Pelodiscus sinensis: one gene and its partner. The protein of the gene in region 2 binds, or shares a complex with, the protein of the main gene of each other region. Links are inferred from orthologs where the notes say so. Each region holds a gene or a part of one and is shown on either strand. Other genes may lie near its edges.

The links.
Region 1: the proteins of IFFO1 (region 2) and XRCC4 are in contact, whole or in part, in a crystal structure (PDB 6ABO), measured with the Homo sapiens proteins. The link is inferred for Pelodiscus sinensis from reciprocal best matches to the Homo sapiens genes IFFO1 and XRCC4. Residues at the interface, in NP_001317253.1 of Homo sapiens: Arg469, Glu470, Tyr473, Ile477, Gln479, Ile480, Glu481, Glu483, Leu484, Ala487, Lys488, Asp490, Met491, Arg493, His494, Leu495, Tyr498, Met501, Lys505, Leu508, Asp509, Met512, Cys515, Arg516, Leu518, Ile519, Thr520, Gln521; in NP_001304941.1 of Homo sapiens: Trp155, Val158, Gln159, Phe162, Glu163, Cys165, Val166, Lys169, Glu170, Glu173, Leu176, Tyr177, Phe180, Val183, Leu184, Lys187, Lys188, Lys190, Ile191, Leu194, His195, Lys197, Leu198, Ala201, Ala202, Arg205, Glu212.

What each region holds. Positions count from the first base shown.
Region 1 is NC_134716.1:79,416,399-79,423,641, reverse strand, and holds the start of XRCC4 (DNA repair protein XRCC4), read left to right. Parts: upstream 1-4,238; 5' UTR 4,239-4,385; intron 4,386-7,243. Other genes in the region: TMEM167A (protein kish-A), read right to left, coding at 4,099-4,101.
Region 2 is NC_134711.1:138,774,676-138,782,769, reverse strand, and holds the start of IFFO1 (non-homologous end joining factor IFFO1), read right to left. Parts: upstream 3,098-8,094; 5' UTR 2,993-3,097; coding exon 2,277-2,992; intron 1-2,276. UniProt on the Homo sapiens protein: Nuclear matrix protein involved in the immobilization of broken DNA ends and the suppression of chromosome translocation during DNA double-strand breaks (DSBs).

The sequences.
Region 1 (7,243 bases), on a different chromosome or scaffold from region 2:
CAGCTGATCTGGAAGCGGCCGCGGGTCCGGCCCCGGGTCCTCCGCCGCTTTGCTCAGCGTCTCCCTGGTCTGCTGGGGTGGACGCAGCTAGTGCCCCCCTCAGCAGACCAGGGAGATGTGGAGCAAAGCCCGGGGCCTGTGGTAGAGCAGGTGGGGCGCTGCCGGTTGGTCCCACAGCACCGCTCCTTGGCGCTACTGGACCAACCTGGCAGCACCCCAGCTACTCTGCCCCAGGAGTCCTGATTCAGCCGCTGCTGATCAGTTTCAGCAGTGGCTGAATCAGGACACCTGGGGCAGAGCAGCTGGGGTGCTGCTGGGTTGCTCCAGTAGCGCCAAGGAGCAGCCGCACTACTGGACCAACCCAGCAGCACCTGAGCTGCTCTGCCCCAGGCGTCCCCAAATTAGCCGCTGCTGAAACTGACCAGCGGCTGACTACAGGAAGCCCGAGGCAGAATTGCTCCGCCCCGGGCTTCCTGGAATCAGCTGCTGATCAGTTTCAGCAGCAGCTGACTTGGGGACGCCTGGGGTTCTTAAGTTGAATCTGTATGTAAGTCAGAACTGGTGTCCAGATTCAGCGGCTGAATCTGGATGCCAGTTCCGACTTACATACAGATTCAACTTAAGAACAAACCTACAGTCCCTATCTTGTACGTAACCCGGGGACTGCCTGTACACGTTTAATCAAGAAGGGGAGCCACTTTGCAGAGCTGCAACGTGGGTGGCTCCCAGACCCAGTGCAAGCTGGAACTGAGCAGTCCCAGCTCGCGCTGGCTCTGGGACTGCTGCACCTCTGCATTTTAAATGTAGTAAGAGTCCAGCAGCTCTTACTACATTTAAAGTGCAGAGGCACAGTAGTCCCAAACTGGTGCAAGCTAGGACTGCTTGGTCTCAGCTTGCACGGGGTCCAGCAGCCCGTTTGCGGTAGTCCAGACTGGCCATGGACAGGAGCTGCTGCCAGAGCAGCCGGGGCCACTGTGGGCAGAGGCTACTTCGTGGTAGCCTCCCCTATTGCCCCCTCCACCACCCTGCCTCTGATAGAGGCAGGGGCAGGCGACACTGCAGAGACAGTTCTGGGGGGAACTAGCTCCCCACAGCCCCCATTTCCCCCAGCCTTGCTGCCTCTTATACAGAGGCAGCAAGGTGAGACAGCAAGGGCGGAGGGAAGCGAGTAGTCAACTACCCAACTTGACTACTCACTTATATCCCTATCACAAAACAGATTCAACAGCTGGTTAGGGAGTTCCCTCCAATAAGGGAACACCTATACACAGCTGGGGATCTGGCCAGACTGCGCTGTACTTTGATAATTCTTGGACTAGCCCTGTGTAAGCACCATGTGTAATTTAAAGCAGGCTCGAGGATCCTCTAAAACAGGCTGAGGGCCAGAAGGGCAACTAGCAGCCCTGGGGATCAGGGGAACACAAAGGTGGCTCAAAGTATTTGCATTACCCTGATCCCAAAAGCACCAAGGATCAGTCTGCCATAGCTGGGAAACTGAAGCCTGATGTTATTCTGATATCTCACTGATTACACTATATCCAAATGTAGAGGTTTCCAGTTCACAAGGTTTTTATTATTAACAATATATGGTTGCAACATAGAAGTACCAGGTGGGTAAAATACTCCAGCCCCCACCAATTACCAGTTAACTGAAGCCTTTCCTGTTAAGAGTGACGGTTACCAGTTAATCTTTCACATCCTTAGTTTGAGGCCCAAGATTCCCACAACAGCAACCTAAGTCAACAGACTATCCATGCCTACATTCACCACTGCAGTCAATAACCACGATCAATCACATTAACTGGCTGCTTCAGTTAAAACATTAAATAATTAAGATTGGCATTTAAAAGGCAATTATTTGACTGTAAAGTCATATTATCATATTGAGATGGATAGGAGAGTTCATAATTCACACAACTGCTGTTTTAAGCTATCTGCAGTTTCAGTAAGACAACAATTAAGTTTACCCTCAAATCATATCTGGAATGTTTTTGCCTCTCACAATCAGAAAAGTTAAAAACTTAATTACTGGCTGTTACTGACAGCTTAGTTTCTAGCTGTACAGTTTTGCAGCAAAATTTGATAGAATTGTACAATTTAAGTGATTGTGACTCGGAATGATGAGAGGCAGGTATTTAATCGAAGAGCAAATATAATTTTTACTTACTACTCAATTAGGCGATAGGCAGCCCAGCTCAATCCCAGCTCGCACTGGGTGAAGGACCAAACCTAACTTTGGCTCTGCAACTTAAAAGACAATAGGAGCTAGGGGGCTTCGGCAAGTAAATACACTCCTGAACCCTTAATGTATATATCATATACAGCTCTCTACACACATAAGCAGTAGGGAAAGGCTGCACAGGGCAAAAGCTCCAGGACCTTCACGATTTGGAAATCTTTTACTGCAACAGTGAAATACTCCCAACATTTGGGAGACAATGCTTGTCACACTAATGTTAAATATGGCCCACCTCAGGCCACTGAGGACAGAGACTGCTCTGGCACCAGCTGGCTGTGGACGGGGGATGCTGCTTGAGCAGACCCTGCCCGCTGCTAGCCCTGGCCGCCATGAACAGGGGTTGCTTGGCGGCAACAGCCCCTGTCGGGGGGGGGGGGGGGGAGGAAGGAGTCCAGCACTTCACAGCAGCATCCCTTAACCCCCTGCTGCCTCAGAGAGAGGCAGCAGAGGCAGGCTGCACCCAGGAGATGGTACTTCACTGGTTCCCCTCAGCACTGGCTCCTGCTTCCCACCCTTGCTGCCTCTTTCTGAAAAAGGCAGCAGGGGGAGGTAGGGAGCAACTAGTTGACTAGTCAGTTGCATCCCTTCTTTGCTCTATGCAGAACATGTTCTTACTTGGACTTCTGCTTTTACAGAAAAAATAATCATCTCTAGATTCCAGTTTTCTCTCTCATTTTGCACTTAAGAGCCAAATTTAATAAATTAAATGACCCTTTGATCAACATGGTTAGTTATATTTTAGGGCAGAGTTTTCAATTTTTTCCCCTTCTATTATCCTACATTCTCAAATCCATTAAAGCAACATTAGAAAAGTCAGAAAGGTACAAAAGAGCTATAGCTCTCCCAGGCTGCTGCTGAAAAGGGAAAACTTCACTTATGCTCATCCTCCAAAGTGTCAGTGTATTTTCAGAGACCATTCAACAAGTCAGGCAACAACTGCTTTGGTCTGACACACCCTGTGCCTACAAGGCACAGCCATCATAAAGATCTTGCAAAGAATGCTTACACAAGCAACTATAGACTGAACCTCTCTATTCTGGCAGCCCGCAACCTAACTAGAGCCAAACCAGAGAATTTGCAGAGCCACAGGAGGTAAATATTGTGTAGCAGCATTACCAACACTTCCACTGCTTACTGGGCTCTTAGGGTATGTTTACACTGCATTCCTCTGTCCAGAGAGGAATGCAAATGCAGCTGAGCAAAATTGCAAATGAAGCATGGATTTGAATTTCCCATGCTTCATTTGCATAATCGCATCAGGCTGCTTTTTTGAAATAGCTTTTTTTTAAAATAAGGTGTCTAGATGTGATTATTTCAAAAGGAAACCCTTCTTTCGAAATTACCATTAAACCGCCTTTTAAGGAATATATATTATGCATTGTTCTCTTAAAACCCACATTATTTTCAAGAAAAAGCAACTACTCGTGTGTTATCAAGAATCTAACAGAAAATATCGTTTAAGCACATTTATCCCTTTAAAAAAGAAAGGGCGGCAAGATCTACCTGCTGCAGACTAGCGAGTATAACCGAATACTCAGCTACACATCACGTGCTCGCGAGAGTTCTCCCGCCCTTCACCTATTTGGGTCGCTGAATGACGTCACAGGCGCGATGGCGTCACTCAGCAAGCCAGGCATTGGTGACCGAAATGAAGCATAATGGGGGGGGGGGGGAGGGCAACCACGAGACTGAGTCTCCAGCGTGGTTACTGGAACAGGGGGGCCAGGAGCGCGGGGGCCTCTGAGCAAGCGCCACAAACCAGCCGCGAGCTCCTGGGGTCGGAGCCCCTCACAGATCAGGGAAAAGGAGGGGGAAGGGGAAGGGGCTCAGCGCCGCACAACCGGCACCTTCGCGCTTACCATAGCTCCCCGCTTCTAGACACATCACACTTCCGGGAACGAGGGGGGCAGAACCGGAAGAGGCGTTACCTAATTTTCTTCTGGTTGGTCGGGGAAGTGCCGGCTCGTGACTGACAGGCGTCAGCGGAGCCTCTGCGAGTGCTGATTGGGGGCGGCGGCCAGAGGGCTGGGGGGGTGCATAACTGTACCGGCGCGCGGCAGCTGGCGGCTTTGATTGGCTGCAGCAACTCACACTCCCCCGCCCCCACCGCGGGAAGGCGGAAACGGGATCGCACAGTGGGAGCGAGGTACAGGGGGGCTGTCGGGCGCTCCCACAAGGCGCGGGCCTCCTCTTGCCTGTGCCCTGGCAGCAGACTCCCTGCGTCCGCGCTGCCGCCTTGCTGGGGCGGGCGGGGTCGTGTAACTGAGGCGGGAAAGGGGCAGGAGCCTGCCAAGGGCTGTCGGGTGGGGCGGTGGCCTCCTTCCCCTCCACCAGAGATAGGGGCGGGGAAATTTCCGTTGGTGGGAGCAGAAACGGAGGGGAACGTCCGAGGCCTCGCCCTTCTCGCCCCGTCTCCGCGGGTATAGGAGCAGTAGCATGGGGGCAATCCCAGAAGCAGTGCTTGGGTCGCGGGGCAGCGGCTGGGTCTCTCTGCTTCCCTTCCCCGCCTCCCCTTCCTCCGTACACTGACCTCTAGCAGGCGCCTGTGTAATTTTTCAAGCCCTTCTGGACTTGTCTATACTGGGAACTTGCATGGGCATCCTTCAGTGCTGTGAAATATCCACATCCTTCAATAACGTTGCCAGGCCAACCTGATCCGTGGTGTACACAGTGCGAGGTTGATGAAATAATTACTTTGCCAGTCTGGAAGGTGGCTTTACTACTACAGCAATGGGAGAACTGTCAACATAAATAATGTCTACATAGACTGAAACTACGACTATAAAGGCAATGCAATTTTTAGAAGCTGCTGTATTAGGTTTCTAAATTCTGTGTTAGCTCTCCACCCTGCACTCCCCCCCTCCCCCCCAACAGGGCATAGCTAGTTGGTTGGTAGTCTTGCTTACTTCATTGGGTCATATGCCTACTTTTACATTGACCCTATGAGTACGCTTTGTATATATGAATGAAACTTGGCCTCCTTTTGCCCTCTTAGGATAAAAAGTGCTGGATGAAAAATGAATCTCCCCTTTTGATTGTCACTGAGTACCTGTAAATGAAGAATTCTTGCTGTTGATTTCTGGGCATGTTGTTTTTAAAGTTGGCAAACAAAGATTCATATGCTTCAGAGGGGTAGCTGTGTTAGTCTGTAAGAGGAAAAATGTAAACAACAAATAGTCTGGTAGCACTTTAAAGACTAACAAAACATTTAGATGGTATCAGATTCATCTGTACAGATAGATGCAGGTCTTTACTGGCAAACAGTATTCCATTTCATTTAACTTCTGTAAACTACCCTTTTTATGGAATATTTGTCATCTGTAGAAATATCTCACCACCTCCCATTCACTTAATAAATATATTTTTGTCTTACATGTAAGGGCCTATCATTGCTCATCTTGTCACTTCCCTTCTAAGTGACCAAACTATGGATATGAAATATAAAAACTGTAATTGGATATTGTGATTAAAACCCCACCTGTCTAGTTGAAATGACAGTGGTAGCTCTAATACATTTTTGTGAGCATTTCTGTTTTAAAGGGCACATCTGATTTTTCCCTTGACTTGTTCTGTAACTCATGATAGAACGGCTTGTTATCCTATAGCAGTCAAGGTAATCTTTAAAGAGTTAGTTTATCCCATTTTGGCACCATGCCATGATACTTAAAACATTTTCCAGTGTTTGGTTACTCCTTGTTGTGTAAAGTGCGTAAAGTTTAATCATTTCATTCTAAGCATCTATTAGAAATGTGGAACTGCAGTGATGCGGTAATATCTTATTTAGTGAAGTATGATGAATCAAATAAAAAAAACATTGTTTTAAATGAAGCACCCCATTTCAAAAAAAGAACATCTTAACAATTGGTTTGGTTTTGCAGGTAAATTCAGAATGATCCTCACTGTTTACTCCTGGAAGCATATAAGACAACAGAGTAGACTTAAAAAGAAGCAGATTCATCTATCAGTCTCCTCAGCTTAGATTTTATTGCAGCTCCTGTGTGCTAATTCACTTCATTATCCTCCTTTCCTTTATGGAAATGCTACCTTGGTGGGAGCTTTAAATTTATGTGACAGACTTGGTGTGGCTAAGTTGGAAATGCTTGAATAAAGGTAATACTTATGTGTCAGAGCTATAACCCCTTTTCTCATACTTAGCTACTAAAAGGCACAAATTAATTGAAACCTTTGTAGTTTTTTAATTGTCCAGTGTGGTGATTTAGGTTATTGGCTCACTGAAGTCATTACATGCATCAGGGGGCCTGTTAGAGCTATGAAATCCATAGTGATGCTTTCATCTGACAGCTGATTTTGAAGGAGGTCTATATCTCTACCTCCATAGTCTTTGCAGTAGATAGGATTTAATTTGTGGGATCACTGTGGTGAAATAGATGTAGCCTTGTTATTTTGTGAGCAGTTAGCTTTGATCTTCTGAGAAATTTCAGTAAGACAACACTATATGTGAGAATGTAAAATTTCAGTGGAAGAGTGTGACTATTATTTTTGTGCTAAGGACTAGAGATGTAAGAGATTAGTCAACTATCCAATAATCAGAAGCTTAGCGGATAGTTGACTAGTCATGCGACTAGTCGCTTCTCCCCCTCCTCCCCCCTCGCTGCCTCTATCAGATAGAGGCAGCAAGAGGGAGAGGAGCAGGAGCTGGTGCTAGGGAGAGCCGGCTTAAAAGCTGGTTCCCCCTAGCACCGTCTCTGTGGTGGGCAGGGGAGATAGCGGCACAACAGGAAATGCCACGAGCGGGGACTGAAGCAGTCTCTGCTTGCCGCACTTCTGCTGCTATTCTACTTTTGAAATTTCAAAAGCAGAAGCCCCGCAGAGAGCATGGGGCTTCTGCTTTTGAACTGTAGCAAGAGCCTGATAGGGCTCTTGCTTCAGTGCAAAGGCACCCTTATAGACTAATTGAATAGTCAGTGGAAATCCCATCAATTGTTCAGTTTAGTTAATTAATCTAAATTTAACATCCCTGCTAAGGACTGTCACCACTGATCT
Region 2 (8,094 bases):
TAAAACCATTTTGTTTATACCTGCAATTTGTGCATCCTCCATTACCACAGCTCTCACACGGACATTCCAGCCTGTGCGACTGCAGCCCTAGGAGGGGCATACCCTTTTCAAAGGGATGAGTGGCTGATACTTGAGCTTACTATATTAGAGACCTGGGTTCTACTAGCTCTGATCGCAATGACACTGGGCAGCCTCCCTGTTACCTGCTCTCCAACAAGGGGCTGCCGGCCCCTAGGAAAGGCTCTAAGCCTGTGCTGCTTAACGATACTATGTATGAAATGCACTGACAGTAGCAGGCCACAGAAGAGGAGACATACTCCTGAGCATCTGTTTCCTAGTCTGGTGCTCCTTCCCCTGAGTATCAGTCTCCTCCCTCTCCTGTTCCACACACAGCTCACAGCACTTCAGTTTCCTGCTCCACAGAGTTAAAAAGAAAGCCTAACTATTTGGCTCTTGGCAACTGACAACTAGTGGTTAACAGGGGCAGTTCAGAGCAATATGTTTATGTGGATACTGCCCATCATTTTTTCAATTGATTAAAGAATGCCCCAAAAGCATCACAAGCAAGAGCTTTTTTTTTTTTTTTTTTTTTTTTAATTCACAAGTCATTTGGCTGTGGGGGAGGAGGGGAAGAGATTAATATTCCTACAGTCCTTTTAAAGGATATTAAGTATAGACTAATTGACTAATCAAATAGTCCATGAATTTTGCATGGACCATTCGATTAGTCAATAGGGCACCTCAGCCTTTGAGTGTAGCAACAGCGCTAGAGCTGTTGTTACACTTCAAAGGTAAAAGCGCTGCATGGAGCCCAGGGTCAGCTGGGGACTCCCTCACTGATCACAAACTCTGTGCAACGCTGCTCTTTGAAACACCGTGAGGAGCCCGACGCTGGGCTCCCTGTGGCGTTTCAAAGTGGCAGCACCACACAGAGCCCGGAGTCAGTGGGGAAATCCCCAGCTAATCCTGGGCTTCATGTGGCGCTGCCGCTTTGAAATGCTGCATGCAGCCTGGGGCCACCCCAGCTGGCCCCTGGCTGCATGTGGTGCTTCAAAGCGGCAGCGCTGCATGGAGCCTGGGGTCTGGCCCCAGGCTTCAAGCAGCACTGCCACTTTGAAGTACCCTCTCTTCTCCCCCCATTGCTGCCTCTTTCTGATAGAGGCAGCAAAGGGGGGGGGGAGTGACTAGTCGACTAGCCTGTCGACAATCCAATAAGCATTGGCTTATCGGATAATTGACTAGTCCTTCACATCCCTAGTCCTTTAGCCAAGTTACTCCAAGTTTGCATCCAATTCTCCTATGCCCTGAACTAAAACCAGCTTGTTTTCAGGCTGATCTTATTAAAGAGGTAGATTTTAGAGCAGTTTAAAACTTGGTTTTAAATAGAAATGTCGTTGCCACTTTGTAAAGTAAGGACTTCCCAATAATATTAAAAGGCTCCCCGAGAACTCTGTGCACAAGCCAACCACTCGCTCTAGGGGGGCAGGAGGAATGTTTCCCTGGGACAGGTTATCCCATCACTGCCTTCTGCAGGGTTTCCTGCACCTGCCTCAGAGACAGCTGGTGCTAGATCACGGACTAGATATGCTACAGGACTATGTTCTGATATGAGGTTTGGGGAGAAAGGATAGGGAGAAATGGGGTAAAGTGGACAGTTTGTCACGTGTGGTCCCTTGTCTTTGACACTGAATTGCCATGGTCTTGGGCTCTTTGTCGTCACCTTTAAACTGCCTCTCCTCTCTGACTCCTCCTCAGCCCATCTCCCTGCTCCCCATTGCCCTTGCAAGCCCAATCTCCTTACCTGCGGTATCATCTCTCACACAGTTGCTAACTCTGTTTTTTTTCTTAAAGCCCCAGCTCCTGGAGTCATTCAGAAGCTTCCATTAAAGCAACAAAAAGTTTCAGCCCCTCATCGCTGGAGTTAAAAGCTGGAGAATGTGGCCTAAATGCACCATGGAGCTAAACAAAAGGAGCCCAGCTTTGATCATTTTTCAAGTTTTCATGATCTATTTCTTGATCTCATGAATGTGGGGACCGGATTCGTGACTCTGGGGGCTTGAGTGTGCAATCTACACCCCCCTTCTCCCTTTGCCACCTCACTGCCCAGACTCTCCCACCTGTGCCAGGAGTCCCTTGCCCACCGCCTCTGGGCACTGCCCTGCAAGTCTCCCCGTCAGCGGCAACCTTGCCTCTGCGCGATCTCCCCGCGCATCCCTGGCTCCCAGGTGTCCCGACCTGCCCCCGCCCTTGCCCGGGACTCTCCCTGCGCCTCTCACCTGCGTTTGTACTCGTCGCGCTCCCGCTTCACCTTGGCCAGCACATTGTAGAGGGCCCGGATCTCCGGGGTGATGGTGTCGATCTGGACGCCTACCCCGTCGGGGTGAACCCACGAGAGCCCGGGCCCCTGCACCAGGGTGGTCTCGGGCCCCGGGCCCAGCCGCCGGGCTTGCGAGAAGGACCAGATGGTGCCGGGCATGAAGCGGGAGGAGGCTGAGAAGGGGCCGGCGGCGGCGGGCTGGGACGAAGGGGCGAAGGGCAGCCCGGGGTGGCAGCTGGGGGAGCCCACCCCCCTGGAGGGGGCGCTGAGCCCGGCCGGCCGGGCGCTGCCCAGGGCCAGGCCCAGCGGGCGGATGGGGCTGACGACGCTGGTCTGCACAGCCTGGTCCCGGCGCGGGACGCCCCGCGAGCGGCCGCCCCCCTCCTCCAGCGCCTGCTGCAGCTGCTTCTCCAGCTGCCGGTTCCTGCGCTCCAGCTCGTGCACCTTGGCCAGGAAGCAGCGGAAGCGCAGGTTGAGGGTCTTCAGCACGCTGATGTTGGAGCCCAGGTCGTTGCGCAGGGCCATGGCGGCGGGGGGCGCCGCGAACGGGGGCGCCGCGGGAGCGGGGCCCAGCTCGCCGCCGAAGAAGTCCCCCAGGGGCGGCGGCTCCGGCTCGGCCAGGCCCTGCTGCTCCTGCTGCAGCAGGAAGAGGTTGGGGCCGAACAGCGGGTTCATGGCGGCGGCGAGCCCGGCCGGAGAGAGGGGCCGGGGGCCAATCAGGGCTGCCGCGGCCAGGCGAGCGCAGGGAGGGGGCTGCGCAGGGAGCGGGGGGCGGGCTGCGCTGCGGAGGGGCGGGGAGCGGGACTGCAGCAGCAGCAGCGGCGCTGCGGGCCGGGCTGGCACCGTACGTGGAAGTCGGAGACGGGAGGGGAGGCGAGGAGAGGGGAGGGCCACAACATTTTGGCACGTGAGGCAGGGAGCTCAAATGACGCCCCATGATGCCCCCTCGCTTGGGCCAACACTTTGAAAGGTCTCAGTGCTGCCTGTTCTACTCCTCACATGGGGCTGCTCTGCTACCTACGTCTGCACCATCAGCAGACACAATTTTCTACACTCTGGGTCCTAGTGGCTTCCCCCACCCCCCACAGTCTGGCACCTGAGGCCGCCCCCTCAGTTTGCCTCACGGTAAGGCCAGCACTGGGAGGGGAGCGCAAAACCGGGCAGCAGAGTGGGGAGATGGACCTCTTCTCCTTGGGGTGCTTCATGCACAGTGCCCTGCTCGAGACAGGCCTGTCCTCTTCCTTGCACAGGGGCTCTTCAGCCCCTCAGGGCTCGGGCAGATCTAGCCTAGCTTATATTCCAGGATCAGAGGAACAGGGTGGCTGTGTCCAGCTTTGACACTGGCTGGCTGGGTGACCTTTGGAAAGTCACTTAATCCATGCCTCAGTTTCCCCAGTTGCAAACTAGGGCTTCAGTCACTAATGACATGATCACAGGCTATCCCCCCCCCCCAAAGGACCCCATCTCACACAGTGCACCACTTGGACTGTGTTCATTAAATGAGCCAGATAATAGATTTACTCCATGTCATTATACAGACACAGGCCTCATTCACTACATGCTAGGGATGTAAAATCCCACTCAATCAGTTAAATGGTTAATCAGGATCCCACTGGTGGGGAGCTGTTCCAGCCAGTTGGGACCCACTGCACCCTACCCCGGCTCAGCCAGAATAGAGCACCCCCAGCTTGTGGCACAGGGGACTTGGCTGTGCTGAAGCAGCCCCTCAGTTACTGGTAAGGGTGATGCTTACTGGTTAGATCCTGATTACATGCTGTTCAAACCCTTTTCTTAGGGCAAAAATTATTTATTTCCTCATAGTTTTTTTTGCAGCACTTATCACTACAGTATCTAAATGATTCACCAACTTTATCTTTACAAGGCCCTGTCGGATGAAGGGGTTTGCAGATAGGGGACTAAGACACAGAATTTTAAGTGCCAGATTTGAGATACTTAGGGACTGATTTTTCAGAGTACTTAAAAGTCGGGCACTTCTGCAAATGAGTCCCAGGACATGAGGAGCACACAATTAGCAACCACCTGGGAAAAGTCTGATTACTATGACTTACTCAGTAGCACACAGAAGCTAGACTAGAACTCCCCAAGGTAGTGTTCAGCTGCCTTAAGTTACCATGAGACCAACCTCTCTCTTCTTGCAGTCCTTCACCTTTGTGTCACACCTATTTTCTGAAACAAATGAAATGGGGTTCTGCAGACAGTCTCCTTCACCACACAGAACAGAAACAAGTTATTCAGCAGATGCATCTGACACAGTGGGTCTTTGCCCACAAAAGCATATGCCCAAATAAATCTGTTAGTCTGCTACAGGACTCATTGTTTTTGCAGATACAGACTTACTTGGATACTTGTCTCATGGAACAGGTCCATCATATACACTAAATAAGGCAGTGAATCCACATAATAGTATGTGATCACATAATTACAAGACTGTACCATAATGCATGTGCTTAAAGAGCAGGGTTAAAGTCATACAGACAGTCTTAAATATGGCACTTTCTAACATGTATTCTTGGCTCTGCAGCCTTAAAAATATTCTTTTATCAGCTGCTTCTGTTGACTACTTGCTCATTAATTTGTCAGTTTGCTACAAAATTTTTTTTTTTTTGCAGTCTCAAGCTTTGACATCTTTAGCATTATTACCACAGAACAGAAGGTATCTCGCAACATCCGCTGTGGTGAAGTCTTAGCCAAGGAAATCACATGCATCCCTGTACGGTCGCAGCTGGCCCCTGAAAATGACACAAATCCACACCCTCATGCCAGGCAGAACAAGTACAATTAAGAGAGCAGGGTAGCAGCTGTGGACTATGAAGGACCAGGGAAAACCTACAAGGTGGGAGACCTGGTGAAGTAGGGCTGGAAGAGTTTATCAGTCTCTACAGTCCCTCTTGGATAAAGGGGAATTTCTCAGGAAACCAGGAGAGGGGCTAGCCTGTAAGAGCGAAGGTCAGTGCCAGGAGGCTGAAAAGGGCTGCAGCTTAGGAAGCCAGCGAAACGAATATCATCCCTAATAGATAGACCAACTTGACTTTATAGCATAAAGCAGCACTTAGACATTTAAGCTGAATTCTTTAATGCCGTGGTACTGAATTCACAAGGGCAAGTCTGTATGATGTAAAAAGAGGATCAGGAACCAAACAAGCAAGCCAAGGCTTGAGCAGAACCCCGCCCTTGCACCATGTGGGCCTGACTGCAGCTAGGGACCTACGGCAGGAAGGCCTGCAGAGAAGAAGTTCCAGCAGGGACTCGACCAAATTACCAGTGCTGAGGGGTGTATTATGCTGGGGAATGGGTCAGGTCTCAGAGGAAGGTCCCAGAGGGCCCCCCCGCTTAGGGCACTCACAGGATGATCCAACATGGAAAACTGGTTTGTCTAAGGCAGTGCTTCCCAACATTTTTTATATCACGAACCAGCAAACCCATTCACAAACTTTTGGTGGACTGGTAACATGTTATTTGCATATTCATTATGCAGATAATGAATATGCAAATAATGTTACTTAGAGGTCATCAAGTTCAGCTCCCTGCCCAAGGCAGGACCAATCACAACTAAATCAACTTAGCCAGGGCTTTGTCAAGCCGAGACTTTCTTGTCCACCAACCCACTCACCCGGTTTTGTCACTGCACATCCCTCTGCCTCCAATCCCAGAACCCTCTGACCCCATCCAGCCAAGCCTGGTATTCTGTGACTCTATCATTAAACCTGCCAAACCCATCATCTGATATCCCTTATATCCCACTAACGGTAACCCCATTACCTCACAAGTCTGCCTTGCCAAACCTGTCACCCCAGTGCCCACCATCTCCCACTTCCCAGAAACCCCTGCTGCCAACTTCCTTTGGTCAAGCAGCTCTGTCTTGCCTGGAGCCCGTCCTGCCGTCATTACCATTCTTGGTGCGCTGTGTCCCAGCAATCCCTGACCAACAGACAACCTCCCATTTCCCTGGCTCCCATACCCTTCCTCCACTCCCAGATCCTGCCCCCACTACCCCTGGTGCCCCTCGCTCCACAAACCCCGACCGCCCGTTCTGCCAAACCCTGATCCTGCCCCACTGACCCTGCAACTGCCTGTTGCACAAGCTCGGAGGCCCCCAACCCTGCTCAGACTCCCTCAGATCTGCTGCCCCCTGAAACAGGAGCATGAACTGCACTGCACCTGGCTCCATAGCCACTGACCTATTGCAACCTACCCCCTCTTGCCCTCTGACCTGTAACCCCTGACCTCCCTCAGCCCCAACCATGCCCCTTGCTCCTCAGTGCCTAACACCCTTTAACCTCCGACTCCTACAGCCCATGCCATCAACCTCTTGCCCCACGACCCCACCACACCCTCACCCAATACCCCTTTGGCCCCACCCTCACTCCCCAGAGTGAGGCTGCCCCCTCCAGGAAGCATGGCTGTTACTGCTGCATGGGCAGAGGGAGCGGCTGTTGGCAGTGCACCCCCTCCTTCCCCAAGCACGTGTTGTGCCACCATGGGTAGAGGCAGATGGGGGGGAGAAGACAGCAGAGCCCCTGCTGGGCCACCACCTTACTCGGATGAGAGAGAGGGGAGGGAGGCGGCTCCTACTCTGCCTCTTCCTGCTGCCACCTCAGCACTGCTGGGCAAAATCAGCTGCCAGAGCTGAAGCTGGCTGCTGTGCGGCGGTGAGCCACAACAAACAGCCGGCTTCAGCTCTGGCAGCCACTGTGGCCCAGCAGCGCAGCCTTGGTCTATGGCCTGGCAGCTGGGAACCCCTAGTCTAAGGCTCAGTATGTGGGGAAGGGGAGGAAGAAACTTTAGATATTGATGGATTTTATTTCATCACCCACTGTCAGGTCAGTCCTTCCCACTAGATGGAGACTTGGGCAGGGACTCACCAAAAGCTGCACAGTTAGGCAGTCGCAGAGCTAGGAATTAAGCACAGGGCTCCTGGACACTAGACCCAGGCAGGAGAGAGAGAGACTTCACTACAGCTGTGCAAGAGAGGGGCCTCGCAGCCTTCTCTATGCTCATCAATGCAGAAAAAAAAGTTTATTAGTAAAGCTGCCTCCAAAACAAGGCCTGCTCATTGCTCAACTGGGAGAAACTGGCTCCTCTCCCCTCCTCAGGCACAAGCTCATTGCAGGGCTACTTGCAGAAAAGGTTGACAGGCACTTGGAGGAGGACAGCTGCCTGGCTCTATGCAAAGGTGAGTAGTTGTCCAGCAGAAGCATCTCCCTCCCATCCTTTGCTGGCCCTACAGCAGTGGGGGAGCGGAGGAGGCAAACGAACCAAGCTGTCCAACACGGACTACAGGGTAGCCCCACCGCTGGCCCAGGAGAGAAAGGGGCACGAGGAAAGGATTTGGGGTGGGCAACAGCCAATGGGAAGCGGGAAGAGTGTTAGAATAAGGGCAGGACACCAAGCAAAGAGGCACAGGAGGGAGACTGAGGTGGGGACAGAACAATAGAAGGCAAATGGGGAGGGAGAGGCCACAGTGGCCTCTACTGCAGCACAAGAACAAGTGGCAACTGCTGAACATTTGCGGCTGGATCCAGCTACAGGCATTGAGCTGAAATAAATCTCTGCCTTAGATGCACACAGGGTGGGAGAGATTTTGATCAAGTTTAAAATCTTTAATGAATCAGCATCTATCAATCCAGTCCCCCAACCAAAGGGGGGCGGGAGGGGCACAGTGAATTGCCAGAATAAAACACAGCTCCCTCACAAGGGGCAATGGCAGTCCCAGACACACGCTGCTGAAGCAGTCATCTGCATGAGATGGGGGCAAC